Linked DNA regions of Cricetulus griseus. The protein of the gene in region 2 binds, or shares a complex with, the protein of the main gene of each other region. Links are inferred from orthologs where the notes say so. Each region holds a gene or a part of one and is shown on either strand. Other genes may lie near its edges.

Region 1 (3,750 bases), on a different chromosome or scaffold from region 2:
AAGATGGAGCTCTCTAGCTCAGGAAGACAGCAGCTCTCTAGCAAGCCCTCAGCCCTTTATGAACTCATATTCTCATACCTAAAGTGGAAATAACTCTCATGTCATCCCTCTGTGATGTGCTGGCCAAAAGACCTAAAGGATATAAGAATTATATGCAAATAAAGTAAAACTGCACTTGTGAGTGAGGCTCTTCCCCCTACACAAACCACCAAGCATTCTTAAACCCTTTTGTGGAACTAATGTTTGGATTACACAATCCTGCAATGAGCAAGGATAGATGTGACCTATGCTGTTAATTGTTCTGAAGATTTTGGAGGGAGAAGAGATAATGGATCCACTGCAAATTCTAGCAATATTTTGTAAGTATTCCCTTCTGGTTGAGTTGTGAGCTGAGAGGGGTATTATATATAATCTGTGACAATTTCCAAACTTCACCTTTATCAGGCATTCTGAGGATGCTACCTAATAAAAACGAAGTAGTAGAACTGATAGAGGCAAGATGCAAACCAGAGCTTTGTGTGTCTTAATCAAAAACTGCTGAGACTGCAGCATGCCCCCCTTGCCCCAGAAATTCAGGAAGGAACCTTAAGAATTTAAATTTTGGAAAAAAATTTCTACAGCTCTCTTTCAGCACTTCTCTACAATTTGAGCCTCACCCACGCCTTCTCTTATCCTGCCAGACTAACCTCTTCTAAGCCTCACAGCCCGAACATTTCTCTGGAGCAAATAGCAGCCTTGATCTTCAAGACAGGTGAGCTCACTGAGCGCATTATGTCAGCATCACCTCCGAGTATGCTGTAGTCTTCAGGGAATGGGTTGTGGTGAGTCCACCCTTGGGGTTGGCATTATTTTCTTCTTTTTCCTTCCCATTCTTGTTTCATTAGGCATTTTGCTCAACAGGAAACTGGGCTTTTCCTCTGGTCACATGCAAAATCCAAATAATACATGCAGCTACAGTTCCTATCCAAGGCTTGACAAAGTGATACTAAGGCAAAAAGGCATGCCTGCCACTGCCCGCCCAGGCAGAATGGGAACCAAGCCCAGTACAGGAACATAATCTCACAAGCCTACTTTCTGTAAGGGAGGTGGACACAATCCCTTATTTTATTTTATTTTATTTTATTTTTTTTTGTATTTGAGTCTGGAGGAAGGTAGCTAAACCAACATAAACTGATTTATGAAACAAAGAGCACCTATACTTGATCTGAGGGCTGGGTCAGAGACATGAAAGCAAAAATGTCAGGAACACACACACACACTCACGTGCACACACACATGCTGCTGAGTCTCACTAGTCTATTTAGATAATCATACTAATATGCTCAGATACATGCTAGTGCATACATACATTTACATACAGTAAAATACTGTGTGTATTTCAGTATTTTATTAGCATCTAGATGCCCAATTCCCTTAGCACTCATTCAGGTACCTTGTTGTAAGCCACACATTAAGCTGTTTAGCCCAATGTTATTGTCACAAGTCCCTTGTCTGGAGTGGCAATGCCACTTAGTCTGTCACAGGTGACAACCAAGAGTAAAAACAACAACAAAACTCCAGCAAACAAACAAAGCAACCCAGCTCACCAAACACCAAAGCACTTCAGCTCTAAATGTTCTTGCAAACTAAATGCACTTCCCATCTACCAATTCACACCAGCAAATGGCTAAAGCCACTATCTCATCCATTCCTTGTTAAAATTTAACAGATGGATGAACTACAGTATTTTCTCTCTTAAGATTTATGCATCCAGTTTTTATGCTTTTTTTTAAGTAGAGAGAAATGAGCCCTCCCCCAACCCACTGAGATGTTCAGAACTGACTCTTCACTGAGTGATACAATGTAAATGCAAGCAAGAATTTTAAATTAATGGATGTGATACATTCCTTTTGAGCAAAGGGGAAAGCCGGGGGAGAAATGGGAATAATTAGGAAAGGAAGGAGGCTGGGAGAAGCACCAAAGAAGGTTAGGGGGAAAAATCAAACTACAGGTCATTGGAGGAGGTGCCTTTGCAATCTCCAAAGCACATGTGGACACCCATGTCTGGCAGACATGCACGGAAGGAAGCCAAGAGAGCTCCTTTTGCCACCAGCGACATAAATAAGTGTTATTATTGTCACCATGATGCCTGTTATCTGCATATTGCAGGGCAGGGTGCTGTACTTACCCCAGCAGATGAGCATGAGAGAAGCTAGGGGAAGCAATCTGTTGAAGGCAGGCATCTTTTTTCCGTGAGTGGTTTCTGAAGCTAAACAGAGAGAATCTCTGTCAAGGACTTCGCCCTCTGATTCTTTCGAGGAAACCCTTAGGGATCAACTACCCCTAAGGGAGAGACCTTCTGAGTGGGAGGAGGAAGAAAAGGTCATAGGCCCTGCCTGGGGGTGGGGGTGGGGGTCTGCGGGATCTGGAGCCGAGGTTGGGTGTCAGCTCAGGCCACCTCGTGATGTCTCGCTGGAGCGAGTCCCCAGGCTTGGCTCAGCACCACGGACAGTAGCCTCCCCGCCCACCCCGATCTTGGAATTCCAATCTCTCCCCTGCGTCTAGCTTTTGCAACCAAAGCAAAGTAGCCTGAGAAGGGAAGCGCGCAGCCGGCGCGGGGATGCTGGACTGTCGAAGGAGTCATGTTGATTCACCTCTCGCCTCCCCTAGGGACAGCGACACTCCGACTTAGATCCTCCGAGACTCAGGAGCTCCGGCAGGCTTCTCCGGCTGGGTGTGTCCCGACTCCAGCCGTCGTCTGGGCTACAAAATTTGTTTCACCTCAGTCTTGTACACAGGGGCCCGGATTCCCGGGAGGTCCTCGAGGGGCTGGAAAAGAAGCGAGAGCTCCCGTAGGGTTGGTGATCTCAGAGGTGGAGGGTGGTAGAGGGAAGGAACCCCTTCCGTGGAGCGCGCCCCTGGATCCTGTGGAGCCCTGACGCTGGGTGATTGGGTGATCGAGCCGCCCCTCTTCAGAGTCGCCCCTTTGCCGAATGTGTTGCTAGCCTTGACATGCGCAAGCGGCTCTCCACCGCCACGGTCGCTACGGACCCTCCCCCTTGAACACACATTTCCCTCCCCTAAACCGGCGTGCCCCTCCCAGGGCTGGCGCTGAGACGAGGGGGCGGAGCCCGGCTCAGCGCAAACACCTCCCGCGGAGGTGGCTTCTTGTCTGGCTAACTGGGTGTCAGCCGGTCTCCTACTGTCTGGGCTTCTTTCTGGGTTATGGACACACAGTTACCCACCAATTCACCCTTTCCGGGCAACCCTACTGCTGCGGCCTCCCAAATACGCTTGCCTACAGCTCTGGGAAAGGGAGGAACACATCTCTTTGAAGCAATGATGTCATCTATAATGTTCACTGTGCTACGGTGGCTCCTGGCAGGCTTCTCTTCGCCCTCCACCCCATCTCCCACCCAGTCCTGTCTGCCTAGCCTTTGTCTTGCCTTGACTAATGGTTTCCCAACCCAAGCGGCACAGCAAGACAATTTCTGCTTATGGCAAGTGGAGTAGGGTGTGGCACACCTGTTCTCACCTCATCGCTCAGCCTGGAAGCAAATGACGGCTTGAGGGAAGCTTTGGGGTGAGGATAAGGGCCGATTTTTCGCTTCCCTAGTTTGTGTCTTTTTTTTTTCAGCCCCCCCCCCGCCCCGGTAACCAATTGTAAAAGGCCGGTAGATGGTGTTGAGACGTTTTCCAACTCTCAGCCACTCCCTAGTCCTAGCAGCTGCTGAGCATCCCCCGCCCTATTTCTGGAAGAGAAACCTGAAC
Region 2 (3,689 bases):
TATCCGGTATGACAATGGTCCTGGGTTAAATTATTTAAAATGGTTTTATTCATAAAGGTATGTTGATGAAGTTTTGAATAAAATGCTCTGATAAATCTGGACAAAAGAGGGTTAAACAATGAATGGCCTATGTTGGTTATGTCAAAATCTTCCCATCTCCATCTTGGTTAAAATGTATAGTACATCTTCCCTACAGCCCTCAAACCAAGATGTAGGGCATGCCAGTTTTTAAAAACACAGACAAAAGTTCCCACTGGACCTCAAACTCCACTCGCCAGGGTGGGACACAAACCCACAATGCATTTACAGTCTTCTAGTCAAGTCTTTCTTAAGCAGCCGCACACCTGCCCAGAACTGTGGCCACAGCAATGCTGGGGGCTGCCAGTGTGCCATAGGCTGACATTTACCCCATATATTCTATTAGGCAATCAGAGCAGGGTAGGGAAATCTTCCTGAAAATCAGGACCCTGAGTTTGCTGTCCCCATCCTCTCTTACTCTCCTCTCCTTTTCCACACACTCCAGTGGCACACAAACACAAGTCAGCCACACACTGCTTTTGCTTTTCTCCCAGCTGTGGACTCTTCACTCCTTCCCAGCTTCTTTTCTATTTCTTTCTCTTTATTAAATCCCAGTCCCACTTGTCTGACTGGCTCGTTCCCAGGCAGCAGGAGGATGAAAAACCACTGCTGAAGCTGTTATTGCCTCTGCAGCTGGGTGTCTGTCAATATCACCCGCCCACGCTTATCTGGCTTCAGGAGTCACAGGCTAGCCTGGAGATGAGAGTGGGGGAGTGGCCACGAGAAGGGAGGGAGGAAGGCAAAGGAAACAAAAACAGCTACCAGGCTTGCTGGGCATCTGTCTGTAGGTGGTCTCTGGGTCTGTGACTGTGGAACCTCCCAGGTGGCTGAGTGTCTAGCTGGCAGCAGCTGGGAACAGCAAGCACAGCAAGCAACCTCCTGAGAAGAGAGCTGAGAAGAGAGATAAGCCCAGGAGAGCAAAGGGCTCCTAGAAGCCTTGCTTCTGGGGCTCTTGGTGGGGTTTCAGTGAAGAATATCATTTGGCAGCAAGTAAGTGCATATTTTTCCTTGTAGTGACAATCCCATGATGGGGATAGCTCATGGCTGTGCCCAGCGTTTGCTTCCCACTCCACCTGCCCCACCCTCTGATCAATCTTTGGGAAATGTTTGAGAACCAGAAAGAACATTAAGATCTAGACCTGAACTAATGGCTGCAAGGTGGATGTTTGCTCCGCATGTGTGGTTAGTTATCTTACCCAACCAGGTAAGGAGAAGCCAAGAGATGCTATGTTCTGTAAAATTTCTAGAACCCCCTAAATGCTGATGGTTATAATGGATGGAGCAGGAGGTTGTGTGAGTTGGACTATACTGTTAAGGAATTCAGTCTCTGATTTTGTCTAATTTTATACACTCAAGAGTAGAACTTTTGATATGACAACATCAGTATTAAAGCAGCAGAAGAATGGTATTGGAAATGATGTCTTTATTTTGAACAGCTTGGAGTTTGGCAGCATTTGGTCCAACATATTTTATTTTTGTTTGTTGTATTGTTTAGTCTCCCAAACATATTCTTTCTAGTGTCTGTTTTACTTTTAAAATTGATGATGCTATTCTGGTCCTGTTACCTCTGAGACTTAGGGCATTGTCAGACAGGAACTGACACTGAATCCATGGAGAATACTCAGTTTATGGACCCTGTCGATGTGTCATGTAGATATTGGCTGAAAAAATCTGAAATAGAAGTGTGGCAGTATTTTGGTGGGCATTTGGGGAGAACTTAGAGCACAGTAGAAGGGACCTGCTGTGGCATGATGCGAGTCCTGGCTCCTTGCCTGTCATGGCTAGCCCTAAGGAGCTATAATCAGCTGTTACTTTTGCAACTAACACACCCAAGGCCCAGGAGGAGTACTTACTGGTCCTCTTCCTTTTCCTTCGGCTTCTTCCACTCACTTTATGGTTGACATCTTACTTTCATAGTACAAATAATAATTACCTGAGTTATTGGGCCACCACATAATTGAGCTAAGATCACAATAATAAAAATGGGGATTTAGAATTATAAAACTTTATTTTCATTTTGCATAACAAAATGGATTATTAATATTTAGTCTGATTGCAATTTGTTCTCCTGATTTGTAAATGATACAAATTCCTGCTAAGGACTAAAAAGACAATATGGATTCTTTTAGGAAAGGAGTTGTTTGTGAAACTGTTGATTACAAAAGGAATTTATCTGTGTTTTTCTCTACTTCCCCAGGGTGGTTCTCATTTGAAGTTTAGTACTATGGGCAAAAGGAGTCTTTAGACTGACCTTTCTAGAATGATGAGAGTGAGTGAAAGTCAAATATGTTTCTCATCAAGGGTACACTTGAAGGTGCATTATAACCAGTGTGAGTCGAACCTTTTATAAAATGTGTGCCATTAATAATGTAACACCCTTGAAAATTCTGTAAATATGTCCTACACTTTTTATTTCTTTAGTTTAAAACTTTGTTTTGCTGTGTAGCTTTGCTTTCTGAGTTAAAACCATCAAGAAAAGCACATAGATGGTTGGAAATTTATTTGCTGTAGTTATTAACACTGGTATAATCAAGTTTAGGAACAAAAACCCTCAGCTACAGAAATCCATTAAGTCTTGCTGAACACCAAGGAATACCATGAGCCTTCCTATGGATGTGTTCAAAATAATAGAATTAACTGAAATTGGTCATATGGCTCTGTAAAAGAGGCTAGCTATCTTTGGATAGCATGGTAAGGACCTGTCCATTATTGCCACTTACCAGTCTCTCCTGGAGAACTGGAATAAGAAACACTTGACAACCAGATACTATCTCTCCTGATTCTCATGTGATAAAGATATGGGCAAGATAATAGATATATGTTGTGACTGAATTTGCCAAAATGAGGCCAAGTCCTGTGTCATCAGACTACAAATGTAGTCAGTGCTTTGCTCAACCTTTCCTTGGATAAGAATAATGCTGATGTTCCCAAGTCTATACCTCGATGGAATAAGCTCTGCATGGCAGAGCAGTACTCAGCTCAGACATTCACCCACAAGACTCTGGCCACTATTTAAAATTCTGTCCTCAAAGTCTATGGTAGAAACATTAATCCAAAAGAGACTTTCTTTTAAAAAACATGTTTTAATTTTTGAAATTATAATACAATTACATCATTTTACCCTTTTTCTTACCCCAGTTTTCACAGAATAACCTTTCCCCAACCACCACTCTGTTGCTCTCTCACAAATTCACAGGTTCTATTTCTTTAATTATTGTTATATATCTGGGAGTCTGACCCTTTATTTCCACGAGCCAATATCAACTCTGATCAATTTGAGACTATCTACAGCCCCTACCCACCTCCACTGGCTTCCACAAAAATGCCATCTTTACTCACATGAGATATCATTACCTTATTCTCTCCCGTATATCCTCAGTGATACCATTTCAGCTAAGAAGAGTCTAACCTCCCAAGCACTGAAAGATGGAGACTTTGGCTTTGAAGAGAATGTTTTCATATGAGGGTTGATGTCGATATTTCTCAGTTTTGCTATATCTCTTGAGCCCATTAAAATTCTGATCTCTATATTTATGTGGTCATTGCTTCCTTCCTTATTAACGAGGATACACTTTATGGTACTCTACCCCTCTATGTCAAGCAACTAGGTC

Evidence for each region. The genes of interacting proteins can lie anywhere in the genome.
Region 1: the proteins of Scn7a (region 2) and Scn3b are in contact, whole or in part, in a cryo-EM structure (PDB 7TJ9), measured with the Homo sapiens proteins. The link is inferred for Cricetulus griseus from reciprocal best matches to the Homo sapiens genes SCN7A and SCN3B. Residues at the interface, in NP_002967.2 of Homo sapiens: Arg269, Glu293, Tyr296, Leu298, Glu299, Leu305, Gln315, Cys316, Pro317, Glu318, Gly319, Tyr320, Asn922, Ile923, Thr926, Cys927, Lys929, Ile930, Phe939, Ile956, Tyr957, Asp959, Gln960, Ile966, Tyr970, Met973, Ile974, Tyr977, Ile978, Leu981; in NP_001035241.1 of Homo sapiens: Val25, Cys26, Val27, Glu28, Val29, Arg44, Ile46, Lys50, Arg51, Glu52, Glu53, Val54, Asn95, Gly96, Ser97, Asp99, Gln101, Asp102, Phe126, Phe128, Ala130, His131, Pro133, Val135, Thr154, Ser155, Ser158, Glu159, Met162, Leu165.

What each region holds. Positions count from the first base shown.
Region 1 is NC_048597.1:151,887,407-151,891,156, reverse strand, and holds the start of Scn3b (sodium channel subunit beta-3), read right to left. Parts: upstream 2,223-3,750; coding exon 2,168-2,222; intron 1-2,167. UniProt on the Homo sapiens protein: Regulatory subunit of multiple voltage-gated sodium (Nav) channels directly mediating the depolarization of excitable membranes.
Region 2 is NC_048599.1:108,334,220-108,337,908, forward strand, and holds the start of Scn7a (sodium channel protein type 7 subunit alpha), read left to right. Parts: upstream 1-817; 5' UTR 818-1,068; intron 1,069-3,689. UniProt on the Homo sapiens protein: Sodium leak channel functioning as an osmosensor regulating sodium ion levels in various tissues and organs. While most sodium channels are voltage-gated, SCN7A is not and lets sodium flow through membrane along its concentration gradient.